2 linked regions of the Tamandua tetradactyla genome follow. The protein of the gene in region 1 interacts with the protein of each later gene in a biochemical or structural test. Links are inferred from orthologs where the notes say so. Each region holds a gene or a part of one and is shown on either strand. Other genes may lie near its edges.

Region 1 (7,581 bases):
CCCACTTATGAATCATGAATGAGGTCTTCAACCCTTGTATGACTCGTACGGTTGGGAGGTAAATAGCTCCACCTGGTGGTTGATAGGGCACTAACTGGGAAAACAGGTAAAGCTACAAAGAGGCCTTGCCCCAGGTTACATGAATAATGAATTAGTTGCTGCAGCCAGGTTGCCTTAGTAACCAAGAAAGGACATCAGGACCATGCTTCCTGATCATGAATTATGCATGATCGGGTGGTTGATTGACTAACATTCTGCAACCAGAAAGCAGATGTTAGAACATGGAAGCCACACCCTACTGTTGATGAATAATGAATGATTTTGCAGCGGCCGGGAAGCCAACGAGACCACTTCTCTTATCCTTATCATGAATAACCCATGAGGCCTGGTGGGCTGGAACAAAAGGGACAGGCCCGCCTACTGCTGCATCTAATACCCTGTAAGCAGGGAAATAGGGCTACTGCAGGGAAAACACATTCCTTCAGGCCATGAATAATGAATGACGCTGCTGTTGCAGCTCAACGTGGAAACCAAGAGAGATCAGAAAGGTCCCACCTAGCTATCATGAATTATGCATAAAGCTGGATGGACAGACACTCAAAACAGACCCGCCCAGCAGGGAGGGATTATGGTTTTGCAGCCTAGTTGCCAAGGCAACGTGGCCACGCCTCCCTGTTCATGAATAATACTGCCCAGCCACAGAGAAAACCAAGGGAGAGTGAAGCCTCCCTTCCCCACCCTCAACAAACTGCTCATCAACCTGATCTGTTTTGGTTCAACCAAACTTGCCTTTGGCAAGTGCCTCAGTTTCCACAACTGTGAAATGGGGATAGTAATAGAACCCACCCATCTCAAAAGAGTGAAATGAGTTATTATGAAGATCAGAATGAGCTTAGAACAGCGCCAGCACAACGCACTAAATGTTAAATGTTTAAAATATTATATATTGTTTTGAAGTGCGCTCCCAGAAAAACACTGGAAAACAGAATGCTATGGCCACCACAGTCCACGAACTAGGTAGGACAGACTACTAGGTCACCAGAGACACACTGTATACCAAAGCTCCAGGCACATAATAAGCACCCAATACATTTCTGCTGAATAACAATAATAAATCACATTAACTGATTACTCCTGTCGTGTACCCTTATATATGCACCATGACACCGATATCCTCAGGAAAACCCTAGCAAGTTGGTGCTTTTATGAGCTCTGTTATATAGAGGAGGAAACAAGTTCCTTCTTGTCCTTCAGGTCTCAGCTCAAAGGTGATCTCCTTATAGAAGTCTCAAATCCTCACAAAAATCATTTCTGTCTACTGATTACTCTAGCTGTGTGACTTGGCGCCAGACACTGCACCTCCCTCCGCCTTGATTTCCCTATCAGTAAAATGGGAATAGTAGTCTACCTTGTGATGGTGTTTAAATGAATAAATATGTATAAGGCACTTAGAATAGTGCCTGGCACATAGTATAGTAAGTGCGATTTGACTAACATTAGTAGCAACACTATTACACTGGGGGAGGTGTAAATCATGGAATTTGGTTAAGATGCTGACTCTGGAACTAGAGTGAGTGGAATTTGGTTAAGATGCTGACTCTGGAACTAGAGTGAGTGGGTTTGAATCCTGGCTTGGTTACTCACTGGCTGTGTAACCTTACACAAATTATTTAGCCTCGCTATATGGCTGTGTCCCAGTTTCCTCGTCTATAAAGGGGATAATAATAACCTACTTCCTAGAATTGTTGTGAAGATTAAATGGGCTAACGAAGTGATAAATGAGTGGGTGTTGATCTTATCATTATCCTCATACCTATTTTTCAGGCCCACAGAAAGATTTGCCAAAGACCACACAACTGGCAAAAGCGATAGGATTGGAATGCAGAGCCTTTGTTGATAACCTGGAATACTGGGCTGTGAGGTATTACGAACAATGCGCGAAACCCCGCCCCTTTGGAACCTATACGAGAATCTAACCCTGATCACGTAAATGAAGCCACAAAGGCCACGCCCCTCGCGAATTATGACCAACGTCCCTAGAAAGGTCACAGAAGACTCAGGGCTCTACTCACCTGCATGAATAATCAATGAGCTCTAGTTTGGCGTGGCTGATTTCAGAACGCCCCTGCAGCACGCTGAACCGCCCCCTTATGAATAATTCACAACCCGACGCTTTCCCAGACCAGGTGCGAAAGAGGCAAAAATCTGCTTTCCCCACGGCCCCACCTCCTCATGAATAATGAATAAAGCCGCGGCCAATGGAGGCCTGGTGGCACCAAGTCCTCTCAGGAAGAGATTAGTGGATTGGGCTCCTGCAGCTCTTCCCCAGCCTGGGCTGGGGCTCCTCTCCCCCAAAACGTGTGGGCTCCGACGTGTTCAGTCTCGCTATCCTGGATCCCCAAGTGTGGGAGGTCCCCATCATGAAACCAGGATCACAGAGGCCACAGATCCTCCCTAATGCCAGCTCGGTCCTGAACGTTCCCAAGCACTGTCACGAGAACCCTAAAACCAACCCTCCTAAAATCCCGCCTTGACTTCAGGAACCTTAAACTCCTCCTCTCCCACCCTTGGGAAACACCCCAAATCCTGCCCCATGGACAGCGTACTCAAACATGGGCCCCGTAGTTCTCCCAAACACCCCTCAAAACCCTGCCTCCTAGGGGGGCTCCCAAAAAGATTCCCAAATCCCATCCGGAGTCCCCAAACACCACCTCCCAAGAGTCCCTGCCAAAACAGACACCGCTAAATGCCACCCACCCCGGGTATGGAGCCTCCAAATGTGCTCACTAGTGTATCCCCGAAGTTGAGCTCCCTCCCCCAAATGCTGTCCAGGGGATTAGGGTCACCATGCTCCAGCTCACCCCCTGCGCCGAGCGGAGGCCTCGCCTTCCTGCTGGAGATGAGCCGAAGCCACGGGGCAACGGAAGAGCAAACCACCTCCGTCTCGCAATAGGAGTGAGAGTTTGCGCGGAGCTCGGAAGCGCGGGGCCTTGGAGGGCCCCCACTCTGGGCCGTACCACAGACTCTTGGAAGGAGGGGTGTTCGTCCGTGCTCCCGCGCCATCGGCACCCCTGTCAGATCTAGACACCCCTACAGATTTTGGTCCTTCCCGGACGGCGCGGGGCACACTGGACGTGGTAGTCCCATCTGGCCAGTGTCTGTTGCACGTGGTGGGCAAGAGCGCCCAGTTTATGAGAAAATATAAGCTAGGGAGGTGAGATTCCCGGCACTGCGCTAGGGGAGAAGGGGGAAAGGAGCGGAACATGGGGGTGCCTCCAGACCGATAGACTCACCTGTCCTATAGATGGGAAGACTAAGGCTCAGGTAGCCAAAGGATTCATTCATTTGACATTTATGAAGCTCAAATTGTGGTCCAGGTGCTGGGGAGTCTCCCTTGGCTTCATGGAGCTGATACTCTAGGGAGAAAGACAGATCATAAACTTAATAAGTAAGTAAAAGTTCTAGTTTCACATATAAATATGTATCATAATAAACGTAATTATATGATATACATTGTATATGACATACATATAAATACTACATATTTTATATGAGAGCTAGTAGCTATAAGGAAAAAGATTTACATCTTTTTGCATATAATAAATGTCTTATAGTAAATACAGTATATTATGTATTTTATGTATTCACATGAATAAATATTATATAAGTAAACGTATCATTAACTGCTAAATGCTATGGAGATAGAAAAGCAAGAAAAGGAGAAGGAGGCATAGGGTGAGAGGGGGGCCGTGCCATTTTGCATTGCTTCAGCAATGCATGAATGAGAAGTCCTGTTTGTTCACAGCCTCACCCACAGTGTATTGCCAAGCCTTTGGATTTTTGCCAATCCGGTTTCATTTTTATTTGCATTTCTCTTATTATTAGTAAGCTAGGACATCTTTTATAGGTTTAAGGATTTTTTGCTTTTGTTTTTTTCTGGGAACTTTCTATTCGTGTCCTTTGCTTATTTTCTATTTGGTTGTACTTTCTATGGCTTTTTCTCCTTTAAAACTTCTTTATATATTAGCCTTTTTAAAATGAAGTTTTGAGGATGAGAGTGATTCAAACAGTTGTGGTATGTGTTTCCAAGATCTGGTATGTGCCAAACCATGTTCTAGGCCTTGAATAAAGCAAACAAATATTCCTTCCCTCTTGGAGCTTTCCTGCTAGTGGAAGAGATACATAATACAGAAAAGCAAGTAAAATGTATCTAGTATGTTACAAGTGGAGAAGTAGTAGAGAGAAAAGTAACCAAGGAAGAGGCATAGGGAGTGTGATAGGGGAGGGAATGGAATTTTAAATGGTGTAGCCCTGGCAGGCGAGATTTGAACATTCGAATGTCATGTTGCTTTAGTTTCCTTTAGTCTGGAACAGTTCTTCAGTCTTTCCTTGACCTTAATGACCTTTACACCTTTGAAGATTACAAGTCAGTTATTTTGTAGAATGTTCTTTGGTTTGAATTTGTCTGATGTTTCCTCATGATTAGATTCAGGTTTAATATCTTGCATGGAAATATCCCAGAAGTGATGCTGTCTTTTTATTCCATCCTTATTCCATGATTTTAACATTGATCCCTTTTAACTTTGATCCCTTGATTAAGACAGCATTTTTGCCAGGTTTCTCTACTGTAAAATTACTAATTCTCCCTTTGTAATAAATACGAAGTTAGTTGAGACATGCTTGATATTAATAAAATTATGTTAATATCCTGTTCCTCGGTAAAGTTTAACAAGTTTTACCATTCATAAATGATTTTCGAACTCCATCATTTGTTCTGAATTATTAGTTGGCATTCTACTGTAAGGAAGAGCTTTCCTTTCTCCATTTACTTATGAGTACAGATTTACGGATTCTTGAATTTTATCAAATTGTTTTTCTGTGGTTGAGGTTATGTTTGTTTACTTTTAGTCTGTAAATGTACAGAACTACCTACATAGCTTCTCTGATGTTGACCCAATTTTGCATTCCTGGGAAAAACTGATCAAAATATATTTGCTAAATATACTATTGGATCCATTTAGCTAATATTTAATTTTTGCTTGAAATTTTCTCTTGTATAGTCTCATCTCTTTGGGGGATCAAAATTACAGTAGCCTTATAAAATTACACAAGACATCATTCGTTCTTTTCCTAATATGTAATTTTTAAAGAAAATCTATTTGTACCTCTAGAGCAGAAATAGGTAATGGCGCAAGTATGTGCAAACCATACTTCTATGAAATGGATCCTCATGCCACACTCTTTTTCAATACAGACTAGTTGCTGTAACATTCCTCTCTGATTTTCAAAATCCAGTCATCACAGATGCTTCTGTTACTCAGTTTTAATGAGCTCAGGCTAGTTAATGACTCATTTCTTTTGTCAGTTTTCTTTTCCTCAATAACTATCAAAATGTATCCTGCCACTGTCAGGGCAATCATTTATATAGCTGATCTTCACCTGGATCTTGTTTTTTACAGCATCGAGTATCACAAGGGAGACAGTTTCTGGGATTTCATTTTCTTTTTTAAAGTAACCTATCAGGCTCTTCCTCCCCCTATCTATAGATTTGTGGAATGGCACTCTGTAGGTTTAAGAGTGGGATGGAGTTTTTGGGCTTTCCTGTGGTTTGGTGCAAAATCCATTTATTCTCTTCAAATCAGTCCCTGGCCCAGGACAGGCAGCCCAGCTTCAGTTTCCACTGCACATGATTGGGAATTCCAGGTGGCTGATTGGCCAGCAGTGAGCGTTAGAGATGAGGAAGGATCTCTTTCACATAGCCTGAAACATTCCTATTGCTAGGCACAAGCTGCGGAGACCACCCATGACCATTTACCCAGTGAATAACATCCTCCCTACCCCTGCCACTGCTCTATCACCATAAATTTGTTCTGCCTAATTTAGAACTTTACATAAATGGAATCATACGGTATGTACTGTTCGTGTTTCACTCTTTCACTCAACGTTGCCTGTGAGATTCATCCATGTTAATATTTGTATCAGTATTTTGTTCCCTTTTATCGGTGAACTATATTCCATTGAATGAATATACTGTAATTTATTCATTCTCCTGTTGTTAGATGTTTCAGTTGTTCCCAGTTTTTGGCTATTATGAATATAGCTGCAATAAACATAAGGTACAAGTCTTTTTGTAGGCATGCGTTTTCATTTATTTTGGGTAAATAAGAGTGGAATGCTGGGTCATAGGGCAAGTGTGTGTTTAATTTTATACAAAATTGCCAGTTTTCCAGAGTGACTGAACCATTTTACACTACCCCCAGACATGTATGATAGTTCAATGTATGAGGGTTTTCTGCTGTAGGATTGCAGGTGCTGTGCTCTGGGGGTAGGAAGAGGGAATACTGCATCTTCACCAAAAGGTACACCTATCCTGAGACTGAGGTGGCCTCTTTCTAGTCCTATTTCCTCTCCTCATTCACACCTCCTCCTTTCTGCTTACTTTCCCCTTCCTCTCCTTTCTCCCACCATTTCTCACTGAGCAACACCCACCCCCTCTGCCCAAACCAGCACCATTGCCTCCTCTAGGGGCCTCTTCTCACTACTCATCGCACACAAATGGTTGGGAATGGTGGCACAATGCATATTAAGTGGGGGGAGAGGCTTAGTGCCAAATGATCTTCCTACACCATTTTCCTTCCACCCTCCTCTCAACTCACCACCATGTGTTTCTGTGGGGAGAGGGGGGAAGTGCGTGGTGGTGGGTCCCTGGTCCCATTTCACAGTGCAGTCCTCCCTGGCCCAGAGGGGGAAGCCCAGCTTCAGATTCCACCGTACATGACTGGGAACTGCAGGTGGATGATTAGCTGGCAGTGACTGGGGAGGGGGACACCATGGTAATAATCGCTCAAGATTTGGACTGGAGGGGATTGGGGAAGATGCCAGTGCCCCATGGGAGCATTCCTAGGACCTGGGATTGGCAGACACTTTAGACTCCAGATTGTGGATCAAGTGCAGCTGGGGAGCCATGAGGCCAGGGATGGGGGGATTCTGAGTTCCTGGAGATAGGGGGAACAAGACTTGGAAGCCATGGGGAGCTCAATTGGATGAGGTGTCCCTGGTCCTGAGGGATAAGACATTGTGGGAGCAAACAACCAGAGTGGGAGGATTTGGAAGAACTTGAAAAATCCAGCTGCTCGAGGATGGGGATTTTGTGGATGGAGATGGAAGCCCAGGAATGGGTGTGACCTCACCTCCATGTCAAGACAGCCTTCTCTATCTCAAACCCCCTGGGGTCATTAGCCTGTCTAGGGCAGTGGAACTGATTTGACAGTGCCTGCCGTATTGACTTGGAGATGCCCAACGTTACTTACTGTACCCAGGCCCAAGGATGGCAACGTACAGTGTAGACTCCAGATTGTGTATCAAGAGCAGCTGGGGGGCTATGAGGCCAGGGATGGGGGTATTCTGAGTTCCTGGTTCTGTAGAGGCAGATCTAGGGGTACTTCAAGCCCAATGGTACCCTGGTGGTGCTGGATTTCCTGGTACAGAACGGCCTGCTGGACCCTGACAATGGTGAGAGGCTGTAACCAGGGTCTTGGGGGCACCAGCCAGAACCCCACATTGTCCCCACCTTCCCAATGA
Region 2 (8,008 bases), on another chromosome or scaffold:
AGTTATGTTTGTTCATTCATTCATTCATTTGACCACCCTTAATGGGTGATTAGTTTTTACATAAAGTGCAGATATGGAGATAAACAAAGCATAGTCTTTGCCCTTGAGGTCTTACAACAAAGTGGGGAAAATAGGCTTTTAAACAAAGGACAGGATGCAGGCGGATGCCTGCTGTGGCTGACCTGGGAGACTATTCGTGAGAGAAAGTGGCACACTCAAGTGAAATAATAATGCGTGGACTTGAGAGTGACATGACTTCCAACTTATTAAAGCATTAGGAAGGTTGGGAGCTCATACTTTGATGCAAGAGCTCTATTCAAATTTCAAATTGCTTACATACATTAACTTATTTAATCTTCCCCACTAACCCTACCGTAAGTATTAGCTCCTAAAATAAGATCCATTTAAAGAAGAGGACTCTGAGATTTGAGGGGTGAAGTAACTTGTCCATGATCACAGAGCAAGGAAGAGATAGAGCCACGATCATGAATCCAGAGAGTCCAGTTCAGCATCTCTCTAACTGCCCAAGAACAGCACAGATCAGGGTAAGGCTCTCCTACCTTCTGTCTTGGCTTCTTTCCTTCTGAGTTTTCCCTAAGTTAAAATTATTTTTATTTATTGTACTAATAATAGCATCATAACTATAACAAAGAAAACCTCATCTACAAGCTCATTGCTCTCCAAGTCTCTGGCTCTCCTGTGTCATTATTCTCCCCTTTCTGTTCTGACTGTCTCTTTCAGAGCAGATTCATCCTTTCTTACACCTCTGGTGTCTAAAGATGGCCCTCCTGAACCGATTTTATTTTTTTCCATCTCTGCTCTATCCTCTCTTAAGACTCCTTACCCATATCTCAGGACCTACTTAAACCCCTCCATTTGTGTTTCTGAGAAATTGGATGCAATAGCAAATTTCAGGAGGGACTGGCCATAACAATAGCATCCTTGATATGTAGGGGCCTGAGGAGGGAATTTCATCATTACAAAGCAGAAAGCACAGTGTATCAAAGATCTATTGCTGCATATCCAATTACCTTCAAAACTTCATGGCTGAAAATGATAAACATTTATTATCTCACAGTATATGCGGGTTGGGAATTTAAGAGTGGCTTAGCTGGGTGGTCTGATTCAGGATCTTTCTTGAAGTTTCAGTCAAGAAGTTGATCAGGGGGCGGTGTGACAGTGGCTCAGGAGGCAGAATTCTTGCTTGCCAAGCCGGAGACCCAGGTTTGATTCCTGGTGCCTGTCCATGCCAAAAAAAAAAAAAAAAAAAAATTGACCAGGGTTTCAGTAATCTGAAGTCTTGGCTGGGGCTGAAGGATCTGCTTGCACATGCACTCAGTTTCTAGCCATCTTGGATTCTTCATAGGGCTACTCACAGTATACCAGCTGGCATCCCTCTGAGTAAATGATCTGAGAGAGAGAGACAGGGAGAGAGAGAGAGAGGAAGGGGAAAAGAGAAAGGGAAGGAGGGAGGGAAGGGGAGGGAGGGAGGGAGGGGGAGAGGGTGGAGGATAGATGGGAGAGAATCCATATGGAAGCTATAATGTCTTTTATAAGGTAATCTCAGAGTGATACACCATCACTTCTCAGCATTATACTAACCCTGGTAAATGTGGGAGGGGACCACAAAAGAATGTGAACACAGGAGGCAGTGATGATCGGGAACCTCCTGGAGATTTATAACCACACATGGGCAGGGGCTACAATATGGAAGTAGCATCCAGATCCCTGTGTTTGCATCATAACTTATGTGAATGGTGCCCAGTGAAGTTTTGCAGTGTGCCATGTATACAGTCATATATAGGGGCCCAGGTGGTAGTCCCAAACCAGGTGTGACAGTCAGCACTGTTTCATTCTCTATTAGGAATTCATTCAGTCATTTATGCAACAAACATTTGTTGAACACTTGCTATGTGCCTCTATCTCAGTACTGAACTAAATAATGGGGTCCCTAGGGCCTCAGCCCTAAGGAGTTTCAATTTTCCCACATCAGTTCTGCTCTTCTTAAGTATCCATGGCATTCAGAGTGACTGCAGGTGCCTATAGCTCCCTTCAAGCCAGGATGAAGGAAAACATTGTCTTCCATCTCATTTTGTAAGGGTCCTAATTTTTGGTAAATCTGAACTAATATGATGTTCCCTCCCCAGGGGAAGCAAATATTTTATCAACCACTGATCACTGGATGCCTAAAAAGAATGGAAGTTGGTATTTTACCAATGTGGTGTGTTTTATGAAATCTAGCCTTTTCCCCCAGAGAGGTCTTTTCTATCTCCCTTCTAGTCAAACTGGAAAACTAATTGTGATTCTATCTACTCACAAAGTTGGCAGCAATAAAAGTTATAAGAAAGGCCCTTCAAAAAACTTTTCCACCTGCCAATTCTAGGGGGAAAATGTAGGCTCTATATTCAAGATTAGAAATAAGAAGTGTAGGAAAGTAGAGAGTGAGTTCATCATGATGGATTGATGAATCAGAGCAGGAAAGTGAGCTATTTGTCTAGGAGACCAAGTTTGAGTCTCAGGGGAGAGGAACAGGGAAAAATCAAGTAAAAATCTATGTTTGTAACACTGGACTCATGACAAAGTGTTGTGAACTTAGACTCCAGAGTCAAACTGCTGATTTCAAATCCCAGCTCTGCCTCCCACTAGCTGTGGACAACTGACTCAATCCCTCCAAACCTCAATGTTTTTATCTGTACAATGTTCTCATCTCAATGTTTCCATCTATATGATAGGGTAAGTCTCATGGGGTGGTTGTGAACTAGTATTATAAAGTGCCTAGAACTTTACCTGTCACAACATGAGAACACAATAAATGCTGATTATTATTACTGGAGAAATCAGAGCAACATCTATTATGTCATCAATTGGAAAAGTTCAGTGTCATTAACTCAAACAGTATTTATTGAATAAACTTAACAGTGAACTCCAACCAACAAAATCCGTGTCCAAAGGAGCTTATTTGTGGGCGAGGAGAAGAGGGAAGGCTAAAATAATTAAATTAAATATTTATTATGTCAGGTGATGATCATGGAGAAAAATAAAACGGGGAGGAGGATGGGAAGTGCTGGGGGTGGGGTGGGAGGGAATAATATGTAGAGATAGGGAATAGTAAATACAGAAATCTTGAGGCTGAGAAATGTTTGATGTGTTTCATAATAACAAGGAGGCTAGTGTGGCTGGAGGGAGATGAGGGTGAAGTAATGCTGTACTGTGTGAGATCAGAGGGGTTCTTGGTAGTGGCAGATAGATCATGCAGGGCTACGTCGCTATTGTAAGAACTTTGGCCTTTGTTCTAGGATGGGGAGACACTGGAAGTTCTGAGACAGGCGAGGCATGATCTAACCTATGCTTTAAATGATCACTCAGGCTGCTGTGTGTGTGTGGAGGGGTGGGCAGGGGAAAAAGCTCAGGTAGGAGGTTGTTATGAGTTGAATCATGTCCCCCCAATAGACATGTGGAAGTCCTAACCCCCTGTAGCTGCGCATGTGAACTTATTCGGAAATATGATCTTTGCAGATATAAGCAAATTAAGATGAAGTTGTAGTGAATCAAGGTGCCCTAATCCAATAAGACTGGTGTCTTTAGAATAGAGGAGGCACTGAGAGAGGCACAGAAAAGAGAATAGAGCCTTTTGATGTTCTTGAGTGATACATAGGGACACACCACTTTTTGCTCAGTGGTGTTTATCTGAGGCTACAGGTCAATATTTGCTTTTGGTAGTTGTCAGGGATGTTATAAAGTAACAGCCAATCCTTGAAGAAGGCATTGGATAAAAGGATTTTCAGTTCTAGACATGTATGTGGCTCTTGATTTGCTCCTGTTTTTTCTTTGGTTTTACCGAACTGAATTCTTTTGGTTGCCTGAGTCACTCTGGACTCTGCTCATTGCTCCATGGAGAGCTTAGGGCACCTGGTCTGCTGGTTTCCCTCATCTAATTCTGTGCCTAAGTGGGCAATAATGTTCAAGTCCAGTAGGTCTATTCCTACGCTTGGGAGGCTATCTTCAGTCCTGTCTGGATAGAGCACGCCATCCCATACAGCTCCAGAGACTGCATATAATGTTTAGGAGCAGCAGTCAGTTTGCAAGAGGGGCTGGGGTGGGAGAAATTCTCTGGAAGCTGAGTTTGCATAGCAGACACACTTTTATTTTTCAAATTGCTATTTGGGGTGAAGATTAAAAGGGAATCTAACGTTCCCTAAAGCCACTCAAACCATTCAAGTGTGCCTGAAGTAGGAAAAGTGCAGCACCCACCCATCCCCATCCCCACTCCCAATATTCCATGGCTAAAAGGCCTGGAATTTCTGGCTACTAACCGGTGTGCATTCTGGGTCACACAAAGTCAAAAGGCAGAAGGACCTCTGTGTTGCAGTGTCATGTGAAGAGTTTGCCTTTGCCTGGGAGAACTTTCCAGGCCAATACGGAGCTTTTGAGTACGGGTTAGTGTGTCAACGGGGTCAGTACCGAAGGCTATTTCGCATATGCACTGAGGAGGGGGTGAAGTCAAGGGCTACGGTGCGTGGGGGTGGGGCGAGAACGCCTCCCTGCTGCCAACATCCCCCTCAGTCGCAAGCTTTTAGGACGACCTTCACCCCTCAGCCAGCATATCCCTTTAATGCGCGTGCCCGTCAAGGTCTCCGCGCCCCCTCCCTCAAGACGCCCCGCGCCAGCCTCGGTTTCCCTACCTCTCCCGTCCCTGCCGTTCCTTTTCCACGGACTCCCCTCGCCCATCCCAGCCCACTGCCTGCACGCGGGACTCGGCCGTCACTTAACTTTTCCGCACGGCTTCCCCGCCCTCTCGCCCGACCCGCGGGACAGCCGGCCCGTGCGCGCGCGCCCCCTCCCCCCTCGCGGCCGCGCGCCGGGTGGAGGAGGGGCGGAGAGCGGGGCCGGTAGGGCTGGCGCGCGGCGCGGCACGGACGACGTGGGGTTCGCGCTCTCGCGGTCTCTCCCGGGCGGGCGCGCGAGCTCGCGCACTGGCGGGCGCGCGCGCGGACGGCCGGGCGGCGGCAGCGGCTCGCTGAGGTGGTGGCTTCACTTTCCAGGACTCAGGGGCGGCCACAGCGGCAGCCGCGGGCAGTAGCCTCGGAAGCCAGAGCTGGGGCGGCCGGGGGTGGCGGCCGCGGCACTGAGGGTGAGTCCAGGCGGGTGCGAGCGTCGCGGAGGCAGGCGTGGCCGGGCGTCGGGTGCCTGGGTCCAGGTTTCGGTGACTAGACGGCCCACAAGGGACAGCTGGTCCCTGGGGCCTCACCTCCCTCTGGCGCCGCCATCCCCTCGTGCATCCCGGCCTCCCTCTCTCCCCGAGCTTGGGTTTGAGCCCGCGACCTGAGCGGATGCCCCTCCCTGAGGTATCGGTCCGGGCTGGCGTCCCTTCCCCCATGCCCCCCACCCTCCCACTCCGGCCACCCTTCCACCTCGCAGGTCCCTGTGTACACCTCCCGCGCCCTGATTCCCCTCTCTCTGCTCTCTGGCGTGGCCCATTCCTTGTGTCCCCTCCCGCGAGCCTACTGCCCCCGTTTCTCGCCCTAGTCACCCCTCCCCCTCCTCCCCTTGCCCTCCTCCCTTTCTGCCCCTTCCCTTCCTTGCACTTCTTCCACCCACCTCGGTTCTCAGTTCCCCATCTTTCGACGCCCTCCCAGCCCCTGCCCTCTTCTAGCCGCATCCTGGAACTAAGTCTTTGCAAAAGTACGGGATAAATGTCACGGCGGAAAGTGCCAGGCTTGATCTTTTGCTATTTTCCCTAATTGCATAATTGCTGCACATGGTGTCTTTCCAGGCGAATGCCGGGTCTGGCTCTCGCGCCGCCGCCACCCCCGCCGCCCCCTATGGCCCACCGGGAGAAGACCTTGTGGGTTGTGTTTCTCTGTGCCCTGGTGTGGGGTGTGTGTTATATTGGTCTTTTGTGATGCCTCGATCTTGTCACAGTTTTGGAGCAGAAGCCCATTTTTCTCTGGTTTCTTCTCTGCAGCCCACACTGGCCTGGTTTGAAACTGGATTCCCTCTGTCCCCCTCCTCCCTCTTCCCTTGCTCCCACTCCTCTCCCTCTCTTTCTCTCATAATGTTTTGATCCTCTTGCCCTTTACCATTTCTAATGAAGATAAAGTGTAGCTTCTTGTGCCCCCCCCCCCCCCCCACTACCAACCAGATGTCCAATCCATCTTCCCTTAAGGAAATTAAGGTCGCTTTAGAAAGACATCATCCTAGGCTCGGTGGCTGCTAGACTAACTTGCATGTGTTCAAGATCCATCGTTATGTATTGTATATTCTGTAGAGTTCACTCATTTTTATTAAAAAGCGCTTCAGAGAAAAGATTTTAAGCTCTCTTAGTTTTTATCCTTGACTTTTTAAAAAGTGTGTTTCTGAATCTGATAATTCATTCCGGACCTTGGCAATCTAAATATTTGTTTTTGCTCCGATTGGATGCTCCTTGGCTCTTTGGAGTTTTATATGTGGATTGGTGCTAATGATGGAATATTTTCTTATGTCATACCCCATTTTCTCTCCCCTAGGACACAGCACCCCTTTTCTCCCATCTAATGATATCTTTTCTCATTTTTAAAAAATCGGTGATACCATTCTTTATTTCCTCCATAAATGTCTTTAGAGTTAAGTTAAATGCTGGGTATTGCTAGAAGATGTGTACGTAATATAAATTACTTTACATTTTAGGAAAATTTAGAAACGTGAGTAGGAAGACAGCAAGATATCAAATGACAGAATTCAGTATTTTCCTGTTATAAAAACTGAAATAGGTAGTTGCTTTTTCAGTTTAATGCCTTGAGATAAGGTTTGTCTGGCAGTAATCAGGACTCATGGAGTGATTAGAATCCCTTTTATGTCATCAGTAATATTTATAGCCAAATCATTTCTTTTTTTTTATGGAACATGTGCGCTTCATTGGTTATTATATTGGTTATTTCCAGGACTGTAATTACAGCATAAAGTACATAGTTAGTACAAGCTTAGACAATTAGTATGCATGTGAAGGAATAACATGGAAACTCTTAATATAACACATTTTAGGAAAGTCTACCTTATTTTGTTTTTGTTTAGGAAAACCAAGTTTTTGTGGTCCAAAATAAAAGTATTAGTTTAAATAACTTAATATCTTTGAAAAGCAGCTCTGTGTTTATAACCCTGGGATTTAAGTTTATATTTTCCTTAGATTAGATAATTGGAATAGATTAGCGATTTAGGAATTAAATTTAGTAAAAGATAATTTAAAAATGTTAATTTAGCAATTAATGTTTAAAGAGTTTTAGTTTGGGATTTTTATTCATTTCTACTTTAGAGTGACAACACTGACCTTAACAACTCTTTAAAATCACTGCTTTTCTTCATAAAAATTAGTTGCACATGAGTGGTACTATAAATTTTTTTCCAAACTTTTTCTGTAATCAGGCATTCATAAACAAAGACGGCAGAAATTTCACTGATTCTTGTGAAATTCATTTGTAAACGTTTCTGTAGTGGTTATCTGTTTTGTCACATATTTGTGATTTGGTTGGTTAAGATTTGGATAAAATGAGTATGTTGGGTTAAAAGTAGAAATAAAATTTTCTTCTTTATTATGAAACTATAGAAATTATGCATCTCTTTGGGCATTTTTTTTCCCCTAAGCTTTTTATTTTGAAATAATTTCAGATTTAACAGGATAATTGCAAAAATAATACACCAAACAGGGAGAGAACTCCACATGCCCTCCCCTGCTCCATACCCGTATCCACCAATTTTAACATTTTGCTGTATTTGTTGTATCACTCTCTATATTTGTCCTTCTGTCTATCAGTCTTTCTACCAGTTATCTAAACATGTGAGAGTATCATGCTTCTTGAATCTGTAATGCTTCCATGTACATTTCCTAAGAACAAGGGTATTCATTGTGTAACCACCTAAAGTACAGTTACCAAGTTGAAGAACTTTAACATTGATATAAAGCTTTCAGTGTAAGTTCCAATTTTTTCATATGTCCTAATATCATTTTCTTCTCCATTATTAGATCTAGTCCAGG

The links. The genes of interacting proteins can lie anywhere in the genome.
Region 2: of the proteins of UBA1 (region 1) and UBE2E2, one has a biochemical effect on the other in vitro, tested with the Homo sapiens proteins (4 studies listed by BioGRID, with this or other methods). The link is inferred for Tamandua tetradactyla from reciprocal best matches to the Homo sapiens genes UBA1 and UBE2E2.

The regions. Positions count from the first base shown.
Region 1 is NC_135353.1:123,057,755-123,065,335, forward strand, and holds the start of UBA1 (ubiquitin-like modifier-activating enzyme 1), read right to left. Parts: upstream 3,009-7,581; 5' UTR 2,862-3,008; intron 1,901-2,861; exon of another isoform or gene 1,814-1,900; intron 1-1,813. UniProt on the Homo sapiens protein: Catalyzes the first step in ubiquitin conjugation to mark cellular proteins for degradation through the ubiquitin-proteasome system.
Region 2 is NC_135341.1:65,248,741-65,256,748, reverse strand, and holds the start of UBE2E2 (ubiquitin-conjugating enzyme E2 E2), read left to right. Parts: upstream 1-4,992; 5' UTR 4,993-5,131; intron 5,132-8,008.